Linked DNA regions of Callithrix jacchus. The protein of the gene in region 1 purifies or fractionates together with the protein of each later gene. This does not show direct contact. Links are inferred from orthologs where the notes say so. Each region holds a gene or a part of one and is shown on either strand. Other genes may lie near its edges.

Region 1 (4,300 bases):
CCTGGGAGCCAGGGTCACAGTCCCCCAACCCAACCCTCTGGCCCTTGGGGCTGGGCACAGTGCTCAGGGCTCCTTTTGCTCCATTACATCACATTTTGCTACAGTGGCTTGTCAACTGGCTCCGCACTTTCCTACTTGTCCCCTCCGTTCATCCTCCAGAATGGTGGTCATTTTATCTGCTCCCGCCACAGCCCAGCCCCTCGTGAAACACAGTCAGCCTTCCATACATAGCTGTGGTTTCTGCATCCATAAACTCAACTAATCTCGGGTGGGAAAAAAAGTGTTGAAAAAAAGGATGTGGCCAGGTGCAGTGGCTCGTGCCTGAAATCCCAGCTCTTTGGGAGGCCGAGGTGGGTGGATCACCTGAGGTCAGGAGTTTGAGACCAGCCTAGTCAACATGGTGAAACCCCATCTCTTCTCAGCTACTTGGGAGGGTTGCCTCCTACCTTCCAACTCCACATGTGTCTTCATAACAGCATTTATCATAGTTGCATTTTTTTTTTTTTAAAGAGAGACAGGTTCTTCCTTTGTTGCCCAGGCTGGAGTGCAGTGGTACAATCAGCTCACTATAACCTTGAACTCCTAGGCTCAAGGGATCTTCCCCTCTCCACTTCCGAAGCAGCTGGGGCTACAGGCGCACAGCACCACGCCACACCCAGCTTATTTATTTTAAAATTTTTGTAGAGACAGGGACTTGGTGTATTGTCCAGTCTGGTTTTAAACTCCTGGCTTTAAGTGATGCTCTCTGCCTTGGCCTCCTAAAGAGTTGGGATTACAGGCATGAGCCACTGTGCCCAACCACAGCTGCAATTTCAGTAGACTGAACCGTATGAAATCATCAGTGGTGGGCCACTTTTTTACTCACTGGATTATTCAATCAGATACATGATTGCTTTGAGACTTTTAGTTTCACTAGCTTCGGGCGGTAGGAGCCAAGAGACTGAGCCTGGTTTCCCGTCCCACTGCAGGGCTCAGGTAAGCAAAGGAATGGAGGTGGAAAGTGTCCCTTCCCTCCCATGCTCATCTGATGCACCAGCCAAACCAAATACCATCTGGGCCTTTGAATATTGCCAGTCCTTATCCGCTGTTGTCATTTTGCCCACCTCCACAGCTGCAGAAACAGCCGTAGGCCGGGAACTGGGATATCTGTTCCTAGGGGCCCGCCTATCTGCTCAGTTGCATTGCCTGTTTCAGGGGTTGGGAAGCTAAGGCACGAGCCTGGTGTCCAAACGTGCCCAGACCACTCAGGCTTCCAGATATTAGGTCCTTCTCCTTCAAACCTCACTTCGTTTCTTTTCCCCTGGGCTCCGTTCCAGTCCTGGCTGTAAGACTGGGAAAGCAGTGGCTATTTTTGTCCGTGAGAAGCTTTCCTTTCTACACCACGACTTGGGAGGCAGCCTGGGAGGAAGAGAAATTAGCCGTGGCTCCTTTAAGAAGTCCGCGGAGGCGCTCCCGGCCTTTTGTTTCAGCGGCGGCGCGCGCGTCAGCGTCAACGCCAGCGCCTGCGCACTGAGGGCGGCCTGGTCGTCGTCTGCGGTGGCGGCGGCTGAGGAACCCGGCTGAGGCGCCGGTACCCGGCCCGGTGCGCATTTCGCCTTCTGGCTTCGGCTTCCCTTGGCCTGGCACTCGCCGGCCACGCCCAGGCCCCACCCCAGCCCTCCGGATCCCTCGCAGACCGGCTCCGGCCGCCCGTCTCTGCCGCCGCAATGATGATGATGGCGCTGAGCAAGACCTTCGGGCAGAAGCCCGTGAAGTTCCAGCTGGAGGATGACGGCGAGTTCTACATGATCGGCTCCGAGGTAGCCTGCGGCGCGTCCTCGCCCTCCCCGGGCTCGGCCCCGCGGGAGCCCCAGGGCGGGCCCGTGCGCCGAAAGCGGGCGTCTCCATTCATCGGGGCGGGCGGGCGCGCGCGCGCTCCGGACTGTGGGGCGTGACCTGTGGGCGTGGCCCCGCCCCCTCATCTATCTGGGTTTCTTTACCCATTTCGCCGAGGTCTGCCGCCTGCAATGCTGCCAGGGCTTTATGGCGCCGCGAGTGGTTCCATTAGTTCCCTGCTGGGTTGGTTTCCAGCCAGACTCAAAGAAGTGGAATGTTGGGTTAGCCCCTGAGACGCTTGGGGGACCGCACTGCTGCCTTTGACTCTTTTTAGATGTCGTAAATTTCACGTGCACCCCTCCCCACATTGCCACTTGTGGGATCCTGAAATGGCAGGCTGAAAACTCCCGGGCTTAGTGAGGGCTCATCCCTATTGTGTTTGTTTGTTGCTTCTTAGGTGGGCAGTAGAGGTGTTTTGACCTTTGTTTACTAGTGAAGAAACAGATCGGAGGGAGATGTTTGCTTTTGGGTGGGTAAAGGCCCCATGCCTAAGCTGATTCTTTGAGCAATTCTGAAGCAATTGACATTTTCCATATCTGTGAACTGATTCTGAATTATTACAGGGGCAGGAGAACAAGGATCTTTAATCCTTAAGTAGAGTGGCAGTATTTTGTTGCATCAACTGATTGACTGACGTTGGAAAAACCTTCAATTGGCAATTAAACGGGTGTTTATGCCAAATATATTAGGTTCTTGTTTTTTGTCATTTGTTTATTTATTTTTGAGACAGAGTCTCGCTCTGTCACCAGGATGGAGTGCAGTGGTACGATCTTGGTTCACTGCAACCTCCGCTTCCCAGGTTCAAGCAGTTCCCTGCCTCAGCCTCCTGAGTAGCTGGGATTACAAGCGTCTGCAACCACGCCCGCCTAGTTTTTGTGTTTTTAGTAGAGACAGGGTTTCATCACGTTGGCCAGGCTGGTCTGGAACTCCTGACCTCATGATCCACCCGCCCCGGCCTCCCCAAGTTCTGGGATTACAGGCGTGAGTGAGCCACTATGCCTGGCCTTATTAATAGTTTTTATCTTACTTTATTTTAGAAAAAAGGTCTCACTCTGTTGCCCAGGCTTTGGTACAGTGGTGCATCTCAGCTCACTGCAGCCTTGACTTCCTGGGGTCAAGTGATCCTCCTGCCTCAGCCTCCCAAGTAGTTGGGACTACAGGTGTACATCACCATGCCCGGCTAATTTTTGTGTTTTTTTTGTAGAGATGGGGTTTTGCTGTGTTGCCCAGGCTGGTCTTGAACTCCTGGGCTCAAGTGATCCTTGTACCTCAGCCTCTTAAAGTGCCAGAATTTCAGGTGTGAGCCACCACGCTCACACTCAGCCCATTCATACTTTTTAAACTTGTGGGTTTTTGCCTTCACAATTGAGCATAGCATGAAGGAATGAAGCCTCAAGATGGTCACGCTGAGTCCCATGGGTGAGAGTAAGGTCAATAGCATCAGAACTTTAGTGTTAGCATTTCTCCACCTTTTTTTTTTTTTTTTTTTTTGAGGGGAACAACGTCTGACTCTGTCACTCAGGCTGGAGTGGAGTGGTGCAATCTCAGCTCTCTGCAACCTCCACCTCCCGGGCTCAAGCCATCCTCCCACCTCAGTCTCTCAAGCATCTGGGACTACGGCACACACCATCACGCCTGGCTAATTTTTACATTTTTAGTAAAGATCGGGTTTCACCATATTGCCCAGGTTGGTCTTAAAAAATTCAGACGTTCAAGCGATCTGCCCACCTCAGCCTCCCAAAGTGCTGGGATTATAGGTGTGAGCCACTGTAGCTGGCCTCCATCAATTTTTATAAAACAAAAAGTGAAGGATGCAATAAAATTTTCACGTTGTCACTTGAATTGCAACTGTTCGAAGATGGCAGTGCTGGGGAGATGGAGCCATTGCCTGTCCTTGTGCCGCAGTTCAGCATTGTCCTCATTGGCCAGTAGACACCTGCCTAACTGCAGGATGCAAAAGGTGTTGAGTTTCATCATGTGATACTAGGCGAGTTGTTTACCTGATCTAATGGGTATAAAAGTAGTTAGTTTGGCTCAGAGTGGGTGACACTTTAAAAGAAAGCTTTCATTTATTAATTGGAGCAAATTGAGAAGCTGTAAGTGGCCAAGTGGGAAGAACCTTGGGAGGCCTGGTTCCAGCCCTGCTCTGCCTTCGTGTCACGTTTCTCATGTGTAAAATGTGATGCTTAGACTAAATGGTTTCCAGGATCTTCCCCAAAGCACATTTTAGTTTCTGGAAAGCTAATTACAGTCTTGTTTTTCAGCCCCCTTCACTCCTGGGCTTCCCAGTAAGAATAGTCTTCCTGAGGCCCAGCCTATGAGAGACTCAGATGGAGAGGCAGTTTGTTCTCTTGGGCCTGACTTAATCATCAGACCTTTGGAGTTTAGGCAAGGGTTCAAGGTCAGAGCTCTATTGAAATCAGTA
Region 2 (3,052 bases), on another chromosome or scaffold:
AGTGCTGGGATTACAGGCGAGAGCCACTGTGCCCAACCTTCCTTGAGTCCTTTTTAGCTCTGTCCCTTTCCCTCCTGCTTTTGCAGTTCTCAGTGGTCATTTACAGCTTTGGAATTTCTACTCTGTAGAGTAACTGGAGTAGTGAGTGAAGGGAGCATTCAGAATGAGCACGGCCTCAAGCGTCCTAACCAGGGGCTTGGGCCTTCTAGCAACATATATACCACTGTTAAGGACATAGGAGAGTGGTATTCAAGAGATGGAAATCCCATAGGTACCCATGTCTCACCATGTCTTGGAGGCATTCTTCTCTGTTTGACAGATGTATAAACGGGCCCAGAGAAACCTACAAATGATTTACTTGGGGTGCCGTGGCGGCAAGGTCTCTTGACTATTTTCTCCCCTGCCCCAATCAGAGCTTCCATACAACGACTACTTCGAATACTTTGGACCAGATTTCAAGCTCCACATCAGTCCTTCCAATATGACTAACCAGAACACGAATGAGTACTTGGAGAAGATCAAGTGAGTATATCCTCCGGCCACTCCTAGGTTGAACATTCCTGACTCTGGTTTGTCCCTGACCAGAGCCCTACTACTCTCCCATTGGCCACAGACAGCGACTGTTTGAGAACCTGAGGATGCTGCCGCATGCACCCGGGGTCCAAATGCAGGCGATTCCTGAGGACGCCATCCCTGAGGAGAGTGGTGATGAAGACGAAGAAGACCCTGACAAGCGCATCTCGAGTAAGACCTAGACCCAGAGCCCTGTGCCTTCCACTCAGTAGGCAGCTCCGACTTCCACCACCATTCCTGGCTGCACATTTCCTCCAAGCTCTCCACCTGTTCAGAAATTTGTTTCTAGTTCCAGTGCCTGTAGGCACAAGTTAGGAAGCTTGAGTTCCTCCCTATTCTCTGGTTCCCTCTCCTTTGGTGTCTCTTGGAGGACACGCAGGGAAGCACTGGGCACAGATGCTAAGCTAGATCGGCACCCACCTGCCTCTCACCCATGCTTCCCACTCCTGCCCAGTCTGCTCCTCTGACAAACGAATTGCCTGTGAGGAAGAGTTCTCAGACTCTGAAGAGGAGGGAGAGGGGGGCCGCAAGAACTCTTCCAACTTCAAAAAAGCCAAGAGAGTCAAAACAGAGGATGAAAAAGAGAAAGAGCCAGAGGAGAAGAAAGGTGGGTTTGGGTTCAGCCGGGACTTGGGTCTTGAGACTGGGAGGATGAATCTATGTAGGGCAGTGGGAGGAGGGAGTGACTCAGGCCCTGCCAGCTCCTGTGGGGCTCTTCCTCAGCTCCTTGAGCCTTTCAGTGGCTCCCAGAAGTGGCAGGGCCCACAAAACAATGAACTTCTACTGGCTGAGTTCAGCTCTCACATACCACCCAACCCCTTTTCCCAGCACTGCACCCCAGTTTCCCAGGGGGCTGCCTCCACCCACTAGGTTCTGGCTGTAGCAGGCTGGGAAACCGGTCCAACCTGTTCTCAACAGGGCTCACTGGGAGGACCAGGGATGGGCTTTTCTCTTTCGTTTGTCCAGTGAGCTGGAGTGTTGGGGAAGGGGTCTTAGGGTAAATGAAGACCTCATGGGGCTTTCCAGAGGGGCTACCCTTGGCCATCCCTGTACTCTTATGTTCTAGAAGTCACAGAAGAGGAGAAAACCAAGGAGGAGAAGCCAGAAGCCAAAGGGTGAGGAAGGAGTTGCCTGTGGCCATCTCCCTGGCATTGGAGCACCAGCCCCTTTGTCCCACCACTCTGAGGAAAGGCACAGCGACAGCTGGTCCAGCTTACAAAGGCCTCATTGAGGGAGCAGTCTGTCTCTGCAGTTCTAGGCAGAGCTAGGAAGCTCCAGCCCCCAGTAGTCACCTGGGATCCTGTGGAAGTCACTGTCTCTGCACTTTTGCCCCGAAGCTCTGGGGTGGGTCATCTCATGCCAGTCTCTGCTTTCTCCACAGGGTCAAAGAGGAGGTCAAGTTGGCCTAAGCAGACCTCTCCAGCTTTGGCTTCCTGCCGAGTCCCTCACCTTTCTCTTCTAACCCCTCAGATTTTATATTTTCTATTTCTCTGTGTATTTATATAAAAATTTATTAAATATAAATATCCCCAGGGACAGAAACCAAGGCTCTGAGCCCAGGGCAGCTGTACTGGGTGAGCTTTCAGGAGTTGCCTTGCCACCCATCTTAACTTTGAACCACAAAGGGTGCCAGGTCTAAGTGAAAGGGATACTTTTATGCAACCATAAGACAAAATCCTGAAATGCCAAGTGCCTGCTTAGTAGCTTTGGAAAGGCGCCCTTATTGAACATTATAGAAGGGGTGGCTGGGTTTTCAAGGATCTCCTGTTCTCTTCAGGCTCCTAAGGTAACATCAGCCATTTTTAGATTGGTTCTGTTTTCATACCTTCCCACTGGCCTCAAGTGAGCCAAGAAAGTCGCACTGCCTGCCCTCTGTCTTCCCCTAATTCTGCAGGTGGAGGAGGTAGTCTAGTTTTCCTTTTTGAGATACTATTTTCATTTTTGTGAGCCTCTTTGTAATAAAATGGTACATTTCTATATCCTCCTGAGCTTGTTTCTTATGTGTCTCTGAGTTGGTTTCAACTCTACTTCCCTGCCCTTCTGGTGTCCATGAGTATTGGGGCAACCCCCTGAACAAGAAAACCCCATAAAACTTACCTGCCTGCCTTAACTCCTCCCTCGAGGCTTGAGGTGAACTAGTTTCCACCAATCTTCTCACCCTACCCACAGAAGACCACTCATTAAAGCACCACTAAAGGGACGACATTTATTCCTTTTCCAAATGTTACAGTAAAACCAGGTGGAAGAGAATGGTTTTAGCAGTTAGAAAAAAAAAAAAAAGTACAAATCTGGGGTTTGGCCATTAAAAGTTATTTACAACAATGGGAGAAAAAAAAGACAACAAGAAGTTGTTTCACATTACAGACCTCCCCCCACCCCAAAGCCTAATACTTGCTTACCAAGTCAAAAAAGAGACACAGTTGATTCACAAGCTGGAGGTTTGAACTTGAGTAAGACATTTATAAAAACCTAGACGGGG
Region 3 (3,500 bases), on another chromosome or scaffold:
CTCCGCCCCCAATCCCAGCCGCCTGAGGGACCGCTGCCTCCAGCCCCCCACCTCCCTCCATCCTCCACATCTTCCACCGTGGCCGCCTCCTCGGAGACATCCACCAGGTTGCCAGCCCCTGTGCCATCTGACTTCCAGCTCCAGTTCACACCCAGCCAGGTGCCCCACAAGTCCCCCACCCCCCCTCCAACCCTCCACCTGGTCCCTGAGCCAGCAGTGCCCCCCCCACCACCTCCTCGGACCTTCCAGATGGTGACCACCCCCTTCCCAGCGCTGCCCCAGCCGAAGGCTCTTCTCGAGAGATTTCACCAGGTAATGGGAGGCAGGGACCGCCCACCCCACCAGCCCCCCATCCCACCCCCTCAATCTGATGGGGGTCCCCCCACCTCACGGCTCTGTGTTCCTCCCCAGCCCTGCTGCCTCTGGACACCCCACTCCTAGCCCATGTCCCCCACCCCTCATCCACCTGTCCCTCCTCAGGTGCCGTCCGGAATCATTCTCCAGAACAAGGCTGCGGGGGCTCCTGCCACCCCACAGACCTCCACCAGCCTGGGGCCTCTCACCAGCCCCACTGCTTCTGTGCTGGTCAGCGGGCAGGCCCCATCCGGGACCCCCACCACCCCCAGCCACGCCCCCGCCCCGGCACCCATGGCCACCACAGGTAGGGGAGAGGTCGCCTCCCTGCCCAGAGAGATGGGTCCTGAAGATGGGTGGAGGGCTGAGAGCAGGAGGGTGGGATGGGGCATGGCTGTGGGACTCAGCACAGGGCACCAGAACTCAAGGACGCAACGAGGGTGGAGTTGGCAGGGCGGGCTGGAGGGCCAGGAGGAAGTGGTGGGTACAGGGTAGGGCTCCCATTTGAGGGGGGGCCTTTATGCTGTGACCGCAGGCCCTGTCTCCCCCCATCCCCCACCCCCAGGCCTCCCCCCTCTGCTTCCGGCCGAGAACAAGGCTTTTGCCAGCAACCTCCCGAGCCTGAATGTGGCCAAGGCTGCTTCATCCGGGCCAGGGAAGCCCTCCGGGCTGCAGGTAAGGGGCCCTCGGAGTGGGGGTCAGGACAGGACCAAGAGTCTTCAGGGAACCAGGAACCGGGGCCAGCAAGGGCGGGGGGGCTAGGAAGATAGGGGCAGGGGGAGGCTGGGACACGACCAACAGTTGTGCAGGGCCAGGAAAGGCAGATGACACCCAGGTGGGCGGCCAGAGATGATGCAGAAACACAGAGATGGTAGGACAGAGACGGCGCCAAGATAGCTGGCGAAGGGGTGAGGGACGGTCTCTGGGGCAAGAGCAGGGGACATGGACACAGGACAGGGAGGACAGGGCTGAGACGACAAGATGGTGAGCTCAGGACAGGAGAGGCGGGGATGACATGAGACAAACCGGAGACGGAGCGGATCAGGGACCCAGAATGGAAGGGCGAGAGGGCAAGAACAGCTGAGGCCGAGGCCGTCTGTGAGGTGTGAGACGGAGGGAGACGGATGACAAGGAGAGGAGCAGGTGGGAGGACGGGGAGCAAGAAGCCAGGAGAGGAGCAGGTGGGAGGACTAGGGTGCAAGAGGCCAGGAGAGGCACAGAGACGGAGACTACGGAACAGAGGGCAGACAACGAGGACGAGAGGGGAGCCAGGAAGGGGAGAGAGACCGTGTGAGTCAGGGGTGCCGGTCTGGATGGTGACCGGAAAGCAGGCATCTGGCAGAGGAGGGAGGTCACACAGACGCAGCCCTGGGTGAGGGGACAGAGAAGACCCAGGCAAGGATGCCCAGGACTCCAGCCTGCCTGTCACCCTCTTTGTCAGCCCCCCAGCCCAGTATAGGTCTCCCCTGGGGTTCATCATGATGGGCAGGGGATCCCGCCGTTGGGCCAGGCACCCACCCAGGTGTGACACCGGTCCCCTGCCTCATTGTCATCCAGGCTGGAGGGGAAGCGGGTCAGGGCGCAGAGGGAAGGCTTCTCCGAGGCAAAGGCCTCTCACTCACCCTTCTTCCCCAGTACGAGAGCAAGCTGAGTGGCCTGAAGAAGCCCCCCATGCTTCAGCCCAGCAAGGAAGCCTGGTGAGCCCACACCCCACCCTCTCACTCCTGCCCTGTACCTTCCTGAGACCTGGGGGAGCATGGGGCCACCCTCCAGAAGCGGGGGTGGGGGCGGCGGTCCCAAGTGCCAAGCCCAGCTCCACCTCTTGATAGCAGTGTGGTTCCCTCAGACCAGAAGAAGGTGGTGGAGGGTGGGCTGTGGCTCTGAGAGGCTGGGGCTCAGATGGGCGGCAGCGTGGTCTGCCCGGGTTGTGGGTGTGCCCTCCTTGTCTCCCACACGGCTGGGCAGGGTTGGTGCTGAGCCCCACTGGGTGGGTGAAGTGCTGGGTGGAGGGAGGGAGTGGCCAGTCTTGGCTGCTGGAGGATGTGATGGGTGCGTGTTTGGGATGGAGGGATGGGAGTCTGGGTGGGTGGATGGGTACATGCTGGATGCTGGCCTGCTCTCTCTCCTGCCCTCCTTCCACCACCAGTATTTTTGTTTTGGGTATTTTTTTTTTTGAGCCAGAGTCTTACTCTGTCACCCAGGCTGGAGTGCAATAGCACAGTGTTGGCTCACTGCAACCTCTGCCTCCTGGGTTCAACCGATTCTCTTGCCGCAGCCTCCCAAGTAGCTGTGACCACAAGCGCATGCCACCTCGCCCTATTTTTAGTAGTGACAGGGTTTCACCATGTTGGCCAAGCTGATCTCGAACTCCTGGCCTCAAGTGATCCACCTACCTCGGCCTCCCAAAGTGTTGGGATTATAGGCGTGAGCCACGACGCCCAACCCACCATGAGTGTTTTTTAAAAATGCATATTTTTTCGTGGAGACCAGGTCTTACTATATTGCCCAAATATTTGTACTTGTTTTGTTTTTGAAGATGAAGTCTCATTCTGTCACCCAGGCTGGAGTGCAGTGGTGCAATCTCCACTCACTGCAACCTCTGCCTCCCGGGTTCAATGATTCTCTTGCCGCAGCCTCCCTAGTAGCTGGGACTACAGGTGTGCACCACCACACCCAGCTAATTTTTGTATTTTTAGTAGAGATGCAGTTTCACCATGTTGGCCTGGCTGGTCTTGAACTTCTGACCTCAAGTGATCTGCCCACCTCGGCCTCCCAAAGTGCTGGGAGTACAGGCGTGAGCCACCGCGCCCGGCCTAGGTTGGTGTGAAACTCCTAGGCTCAAATGATCCTCCCACCTCAGTCTCCTGAGTAGCTGGGACTACAGGCACGTGCCACCGCACTCGGCTAATTTTTTATAATTTTTGTAGAGACAGGGTCTTGCTGTGTGGCCCAGGCTAGTCTTGAACTCCTGGGCTCAGATGATCCTTCTGCTTCGGCCTCCCAGAGCGCTGGGATTGCAGGTGTGAACCCCTGCGCCTGGCCTAGAAGTGTGAGGGAAGTCCCCACTCAGCGCCCAGGCCCGGGGCTCCATGCTGGGAACACAGGAGTGAGTGCCAGAGTCCCTGCCCCCGCATGCAGAGAGGCTG
Region 4 (3,500 bases), on another chromosome or scaffold:
GCATGATGGTAGATTGTGGGGGAGATGATCTCTAATGTCTGCTTACATCCCACTCTTTGGAGTGCATGGTGAACCTGTATCTCACGGGTTTGACTTTTACAAGTTTATGCCCCTCTTCCATGGGTTAAAAACTTTTTTTTCTGCTCTCTATTCTCTTTCCCCAGCTGCAGCAGGATTCCAACAGTGTTCTCAGCCTATTTCCTTGAGGTCCCCTACCCTGCAGAATAAGCTTTTTTTTTTTTTTTTTTTTTTTTTTTTTTTTTTTTTTGGTAGGGGAGATAGAACTGGGTGGATTTCCTAGCAAATTCTGTTTCCATTTCCCAGTCAGTACTATAGACGTGCAGAGGGGAAACCTTCCCTAGATTGTCACTAATCTACCCTGTGAGAATTTGGTGGGTTTTCTGGAGGAACACCTGCAAGAGTATGAATGAACTCCTTATGGCTACAGCACCTAGAAGCTGTATGCACCACTCACACTAGCATATGCACTTCTAGCAGCAGTTAGTCAAATTTTCTAGTTTAATGTTCCTACTAGCTTATTAAATATCTGCCCCAGGTAAGCAAAAGCTTAGGTGTTTTGTGGCCTCCGATAGACACTTACGTCACTCCAGACTTAGGATGGTGGGCTATCCTGTGATCTCAATTCTTCAATGGGTTCATGAAAAAACCATTAATTTGTTGTCTGATTACCTGTTTCTTGTAAGGATGGAGGATTTTTTCCGCCCTAGTTCATTACATGCCTGCACTGAAACTGGAAGTCTACCTTATTTTAAAAATGTAAATTTTTGAAATATTTTATACCAATTTACCTGTCCCTTCACATCCTCTTTTTTTTCAAGTACACATAGAAATTTCTTTTTTAAAGGTCAAGGGTTAAGGAATAGATCTGGGAAATGCCACTAAGGTTTGGATCTGCACATTTAGAACTATTGTAAATGAGAGGAAATGGAATATACATATTTAATGTCATTCACCTGTTTGAGCTGCCAACGTAAGATTCTTAATTTTTTTTAATTAATAGGTAAATGGATTTCGCAGTTATGTAGATCTTTATGTAAAAGACAAATTGGATGAAACTGGGGTGGCCCTGAAAGTTATTCATGAACTTGCAAATGAAAGATGGGATGTTTGTCTCACATTGAGTGAAAAAGGATTCCAGCAAATCAGCTTTGTAAATAGTATTGCAACTACAAAAGTAAGTATGCAAGTTCTTTTTCCAAGTCAGTGGTAGAATAGGGCTTCATTAAAATCTACAAAATAAATAACAGTATCAACAACCTCCAAAAAACCCAAATCTGTTTTTGTTAAATAAGAATTGACTTAGGAAAATGAAAACCTATTTTCTATGAAATTGCTGTATTAAAATTTACTTAAACATTCATTGAGAAATAAGTTTATATGATTAGTGTTTATAGTTGAACATATTTATATTTTATTAATTTAGAATGATAACAAATTCCTTATTCTGTAACTTTCAGCCCCATCTTCCCCAACCTCTGGGGAGTGGAGAGGGGGCTGGTGATTGAGTTAAAAATCAATCATGGCTATGTGATAAAGCTCCATTAAAAACCCCTGAACAATGGAGTTCACAGAACTCCTAGGTTGCTGAATACATTGAGGTCTAAGAGGATGGCATGTCTGGGTAAGGTAGAGAGTTTTGTGTACCCTTCCCCCCATAGCGTGCCTTACACATCTCTTCCATTTGGTTGTTATTGATGGATCCTATATAAAAAAACTGGTCAATGAAGTAAACTGTGTTCCTGAGTTCTATGATCTGTTCTAGCAAATTTTCAATCCTGAGGAGTGGTTCATGGGAATCCCCCAATTAATAGCGGGTTGGTTAGAAGTACAGGAAGCCTAGGACTTGTGACTGACATCTGAAGTGTGGGCAGTCCTGTGGGACGGAGCCCTTAACCAACCATAAGTACTTGTGCTAACTCCAGGTAGTTATTATCAAAATTGAATCACATCGTTGAACATCGATTTGTTGTCTGAAGAATCAGAGTCCTGAACTGGGTGAAGTTTAAGGCTGTTGGTGTTGAAAGCACCCCAGAATTAGTGTTAGAATTGAAGTGAGGAAACAAACAAACGTATCAGTTGGTTTATTGGCTCTATAGCCAAAATATCTTATATTTTAAAATCCCAACTCTGATTCTGAGACTCCTATTACTGTTTTAGAAAATAGGGTTTGTAATACAGATAAAGTATTTTGCTACTTTAACAATACAAGATTTAGGATTTCATATTTTTGTTTTTTCACTAATACAAGATTTCATGTTGCATATTTTTTTTCTTTAGGGTGGACGGCACGTGGATTATGTGGTAGATCAAGTTGTTGGTAAACTGATTGAAGTAGTTAAGAAAAAGAACAAAGCTGGTGTATCAGTGAAACCATTTCAAGTAAGGGATGCATTGTACATTACATATGAAGCATATATATGCATTACATATGTGCTGAATTACTAAATAATATTAGCTCTGATGTTGACTATTTTGGTATGTTTTCAACAGGTAAAAAACCATATATGGGTTTTTATTAATTGCCTTATTGAAAATCCAACTTTTGATTCTCAGACTAAGGAAAACATGACTCTGCAGCCCAAAAGTTTTGGGTCTAAATGCCAGCTTTCAGAAAAATTTTTTAAAGCAGTGAGTAAAACTTGTATTATTTTGCATTGCTGTTATTAAGAGTTGATTAAGTAGTTTTCTTGATTTAACTTATTTATGATTAGTTTCTTTCATCATATTAACTGTGAGTATAAGCATGCTTGCACTGTAAACTAATATGCTTAATTTGATAACTTTAAAGGATAAACTTTAATGTTTCCTAAAACAATAGTTTTGCAAAGAACTAAAGTGGGGGATTATGTAACTAATTGCATTTTTAGCTTTGCATTGACCATTGTAAAGGTCAGATTTCTCCTAACAAATGTACAGGTCCTTATGTGATACTTTCATCTTTTCTACTCCGATTTCACCTTCATCTACTGATTCTTAACTTTACACATTTTAAAAAATTGTGGTAACATATGCATAACAAAATGTACTATTTTCTACATGTTTTAAAGTTTCATTCTGCTTTCCATATAATTTTTTAGGTTACCTTAACTTCTCTAAAATAAGGTGAGAGCACAAATAAATAATGAAAATTAATCAATCACAGCCTTTCCTTTTTGGAATTTCGGTGGGGGAATGTTGTATAACTGCCCTAGAACTAACGTATTTGTCAAATTCCAAAATGTAGATTATCAGAAACAAAAACAAAAGTTGTTTTTTAGTTCTAACTTAAGGCCTGTAGAAATAGTACTTTTGGATCTAATCTTAATGAATGCTGAGTATAATGAAATTATACTTAATGAAATTACCCCGTATTAATACTTTCCCAAATTTGTGTCCTCATGACAATTGCTTCTTTGATGAAGTGATTTGATTTTAAATTTTAAACTTTTTCATTTTAGGTGCAGTAAGTTTAAATTTGGCAACATAGTTCACCTCTTTCA
Region 5 (3,500 bases), on another chromosome or scaffold:
GTGATGGGCCCATCTTGCCCAAGTGAAAAAGGTGCCTGTGATGCCTGTGTGACCTTGGTCCCCAGGTGCTGTGAATGCAGAAGTGGAGAGTATAACATCCATTCTGGGCCTATCCGTATGCTTCACTAAGAAAACAAGGAGACTGTGATGAGGTTGACAGGTTACCAAGAGCACTGTAATGCCAAGGAGAAAACCAGGCCTTGCCAAAGGGCACTTCCTAATTCCCACCATCTTTGGTGCTGTGGAAAACCTGTCTTGTTTTGTGAGACTGTGCCCAGATGGCAGGTAAATCAACTCTAACTTATTACTAACTATAGGTTACACTCATAGCCCTTCTAGTTTTTCTTTTCTCTCATACTTATTATTTTGAAAAATTTCAAACATACAGAATGTCAAGAATACTCTTATTTCATCACCTTACATATTTATTTCCTTGTGTTAGAACTTTTAAAATCTATTGTTTTAGCAATTTTTAAATATGCATGATTGTTAACTGTAGGTACCATTCCGCACCTACATTAAAACTTCTCCTAACTGAAACTTTGTCTTTTGACTAACATTCACCCCGACCCTACCCCCAGTCCCTGATTCCACATAGTAATGAGCTCATGTTGTATTTGTCCTTCTGTGCCTGGCTTATTTCACTTAACATAATGTCCTCCAGGTTTATCTATGTTGTTGCAAATGACAGAATTTCCTTGAAAGAGGAACATTCTTATATACCTAGATTTAAGAGCTGTTAACATTTGCCATACTTGCTTTGTTCCTTAGAGCTTTTTCAGAATGGAGGGCAAGTTGTATGCATGTATACATAAACACCTCAGCATGTATCTCCTAAGAACAAGGATGCTCCCTACAGAATGGCAATGCCATTATCACACTTAAGAAAATTAATAATTCCCTAGTATCTGATGCCCAGTCCACATTCAGATCTCTTCAGTTGTCTACAAAATGATTTTCATAGCTTTTATTAAAAGAATCAGGATTTCATTAAGGAGTGACATTATTTTTGGCTGTTATGTCTTTTTAGCCTTTTTAAATCTACAGCACCCCCCTTCCACTTTTAAAAATGCATTTATGACATTGACTTTGTAAATAATCCAGTCACATCCTTCTAGTTTTGTATCCAGATGTATAGGCATTCAGCATTGATGTAATCAACAAAGACTTAACAGGCTTCCTCAAGAAGCCATCCTGTCTTCAAAACCCTATAAGCAGGTATGGTACACTCTCACCACACTGAAGACTTTGGGTTTGGCCTGGTGACATCCGCAGTGCTAATTTCAAGCACCTTTCTGGGAAATGGGAGTCGGATCTCAGCCCTCCCACTCACTCACTGAGTGATCTTCAGCTGGTCCCTTCTCCCTCAGCTTCAGTTCCTTCATCTCCCAAACAAGGGCATTGGACCTGGTGCCTCCTAGGTCTCACTCAGGTTTGCCATTCAGCACCTCTGTGACTCTGCCCACAGATTCTCACCTCAGCATAGCTGCTTCCTGAAGCAGCTGCCTGTGCCCATTCCTGGCACTGAATGCGGGAAGTCGGGGGGGACACATGGTCCTCTACCATGACCATACTCTCATCTCTGTTCCTCACAGCGGAGATTCTGGAGCTGGCTGGCAATGCAGCGAGAGACAACAAGAAGGGACGGGTCACGCCCCGGCACATCCTGCTGGCTGTGGCCAATGATGAAGAGCTGAATCAGGTATGGGACTCTCCCACCCATCCCCCACTGATGCTTGAGGAGGTGGTCATAGTGCCCAAGAAACATAGCTGAGTGTGGACTGCATTTTGGATTAATTAGCAGATTCCCTGCCTCCCATGGCAGTTTTTCCCCCAAGGCCTTATTGGGAGTGTTGGGGGAAGTAGGATAAAACAGGGTATTTGGCTCTCCCTGAAGGAGAGAGATTATCTGAATTCCATTCAAGTAAGGGACTCTGGGGACTGGATTCCTGAGCTATGAGCCTGAGTCCTGACAGCATCCTCATGGAAAATGCCATGGAGGAAGGAGCCGCACCAACCAAAGCAAGACTGTCCTGGGCAGGGCTGGCTTCTTGATGGTCAGAAGCAGGGTATCTGGCTCACTATCTGCCATTTTGGTTTTCCTGAAAGCTGCTAAAAGGAGTCACCATAGCCAGTGGGGGGGTGTTACCCAACATCCACCCCGAGTTGCTAGCGAAGAAGCGGGGATCCAAAGGAAAGTTGGAAGCCATCATCACACCACCCCCAGCCAAAAAGGCCAAGTCTCCATCCCAGAAGAAGCCTGTGTCTAAAAAAGCAGGAGGCAAGAAAGGGGCCCGGAAATCCAAGGTACGTGATTTGGCAGGGATGTATGAAGTGGGATAGGATGGGGTACAGATAAACAGGGTTACCAGGGCTCCCCTTCCTGCTGTGGGCTCATCGCACTCATGAGGGACTAAAGGAAGAAGATGTAGGAGCTGATTACACTTCAGAGGGGCCAGTAGCCAGGAGGCCCTTCCAGAGTCTGGACCCAGGTGGAGGACAGAATCCCTGCAGGCAAGGGGGATGAACAATGAGCTTTCAGGGATAGCTCCAAGCTGGAAGGACTCCCAAGCTGTCCCTTCCAGGAAGATGTACACACCTGTGGGAAGGGGGCTTCCCTGTGCTAAGGGACAGCCATTGTCTAGTCCTGTGGTCAGCTGCCTGCATGCTCGGCTGCTCAGTTGCAGAACTCTCATTGTGTTGCTGTGGCTGTGTATCTTCTGCCAGGATGCTCCAGACAGTTCGCTTTAGAACGCTTGCCTCTGACAAGGAGGAAAATGGATGTACTACTCAGGTGCTTCCTCCTGGACCTAACTTGGATTGGCCGGGTCCTAGGTGCTGGAAACCCTCTAATTAGCATCATCTATTGTCGTCTTGGGTGGAGAAGGCCAGCAGACTCCAGGTCATGATCCTCAGTGTGGAGGAGCACCCTCCGGAGGTCCAGGCCAGTGACTGCTGTGCTCACCTGTCTCAGCATGAGCCAGAGACTACAAGGCAACTGGGATGCATTTTCTTTGTTCCTTCCTTGCTGAGTCCTACCTGTCAGCTGTTGTCACAGACTCCAGAGCCAACAAACAATAGACAGTACAACCAAAGTTTGGTCTCTAAGAAAATGGAATCTTGAGGCTGCCCTGCTCTGAAGTACCCCTTAAGGAGTCCTCCTGGCCTCCAGCCAGATCAGGAGGAAATTACCCCTAGCAGAAGGTGACTTCCCTCAATTAGAAGTCCCTGGAAATGCCCTGTGAAATCTAATGATGCAGTGTCAGGAAGTTCTTCCTACATGAGACCAAAACCTCTCATCTGAGACAGTAAGAACACCTTCCCAGGACAGGCTCAAGGAGCTGTTGCCAGGTGAACAGAGCTCCTTCTGTCCTGTCAGCACGTCCTTTCCTTTGAGCCTGCCTGTGCCTCAGACTGGCCCTTCACTGCCCCTGCATGTAGGGGCATCTTCTGTGACCTCAGCCTTTTTGCATCCACACTGTTTGTGGAACTTTCTTCAG

Evidence for each region. Proteins that work in one complex are often made in the same cells at the same time.
Region 2: the proteins of SMARCB1 (region 1) and HDAC1 purify together in Homo sapiens (affinity purification with mass spectrometry; 3 studies listed by BioGRID, with this or other methods). This does not show direct contact. The link is inferred for Callithrix jacchus from reciprocal best matches to the Homo sapiens genes SMARCB1 and HDAC1.
Region 3: the proteins of SMARCB1 (region 1) and BICRA purify together in Homo sapiens (affinity purification with mass spectrometry; 3 studies listed by BioGRID, with this or other methods). This does not show direct contact. The link is inferred for Callithrix jacchus from reciprocal best matches to the Homo sapiens genes SMARCB1 and BICRA.
Region 4: the proteins of SMARCB1 (region 1) and TOP2B fractionate together in Homo sapiens (co-fractionation; 3 studies listed by BioGRID, with this or other methods). This does not show direct contact. The link is inferred for Callithrix jacchus from reciprocal best matches to the Homo sapiens genes SMARCB1 and TOP2B.
Region 5: the proteins of SMARCB1 (region 1) and MACROH2A1 purify together in Homo sapiens (affinity purification with mass spectrometry; 3 studies listed by BioGRID and IntAct, with this or other methods). This does not show direct contact. The link is inferred for Callithrix jacchus from reciprocal best matches to the Homo sapiens genes SMARCB1 and MACROH2A1.

The regions. Positions count from the first base shown.
Region 1 is NC_133502.1:192,698,732-192,703,031, reverse strand, and holds the start of SMARCB1 (SWI/SNF-related matrix-associated actin-dependent regulator of chromatin subfamily B member 1), read left to right. Parts: upstream 1-1,500; 5' UTR 1,501-1,706; coding exon 1,707-1,799; exon of another isoform or gene 1,800-1,889; intron 1,890-3,369; exon of another isoform or gene 3,370-3,562; intron 3,563-4,300.
Region 2 is NC_133508.1:68,946,398-68,949,449, forward strand, and holds the end of HDAC1 (histone deacetylase 1), read left to right. Parts: intron 1-413; coding exon 414-522; intron 523-613; coding exon 614-744; intron 745-1,027; coding exon 1,028-1,180; intron 1,181-1,639; coding exon 1,640-1,688; intron 1,689-1,954; coding exon 1,955-1,982; 3' UTR 1,983-2,552; downstream 2,553-3,052. UniProt on the Homo sapiens protein: Histone deacetylase that catalyzes the deacetylation of lysine residues on the N-terminal part of the core histones (H2A, H2B, H3 and H4).
Region 3 is NC_133523.1:41,628,586-41,632,085, forward strand, and holds part of BICRA (BRD4-interacting chromatin-remodeling complex-associated protein), read left to right. Parts: coding exon 1-312; intron 313-480; coding exon 481-661; intron 662-919; coding exon 920-1,029; intron 1,030-1,911; coding exon 1,912-2,051; intron 2,052-3,500. UniProt on the Homo sapiens protein: Component of SWI/SNF chromatin remodeling subcomplex GBAF that carries out key enzymatic activities, changing chromatin structure by altering DNA-histone contacts within a nucleosome in an ATP-dependent manner.
Region 4 is NC_133518.1:64,023,762-64,027,261, reverse strand, and holds part of TOP2B (DNA topoisomerase 2-beta), read left to right. Parts: intron 1-1,021; coding exon 1,022-1,195; intron 1,196-2,298; coding exon 2,299-2,400; intron 2,401-2,511; coding exon 2,512-2,649; intron 2,650-3,500. UniProt on the Homo sapiens protein: Key decatenating enzyme that alters DNA topology by binding to two double-stranded DNA molecules, generating a double-stranded break in one of the strands, passing the intact strand through the broken strand, and religating the broken strand.
Region 5 is NC_133503.1:33,798,629-33,802,128, reverse strand, and holds part of MACROH2A1 (core histone macro-H2A.1), read left to right. Parts: intron 1-1,595; coding exon 1,596-1,702; intron 1,703-2,109; coding exon 2,110-2,307; intron 2,308-3,500. UniProt on the Homo sapiens protein: Variant histone H2A which replaces conventional H2A in a subset of nucleosomes where it represses transcription. Nucleosomes wrap and compact DNA into chromatin, limiting DNA accessibility to the cellular machineries which require DNA as a template.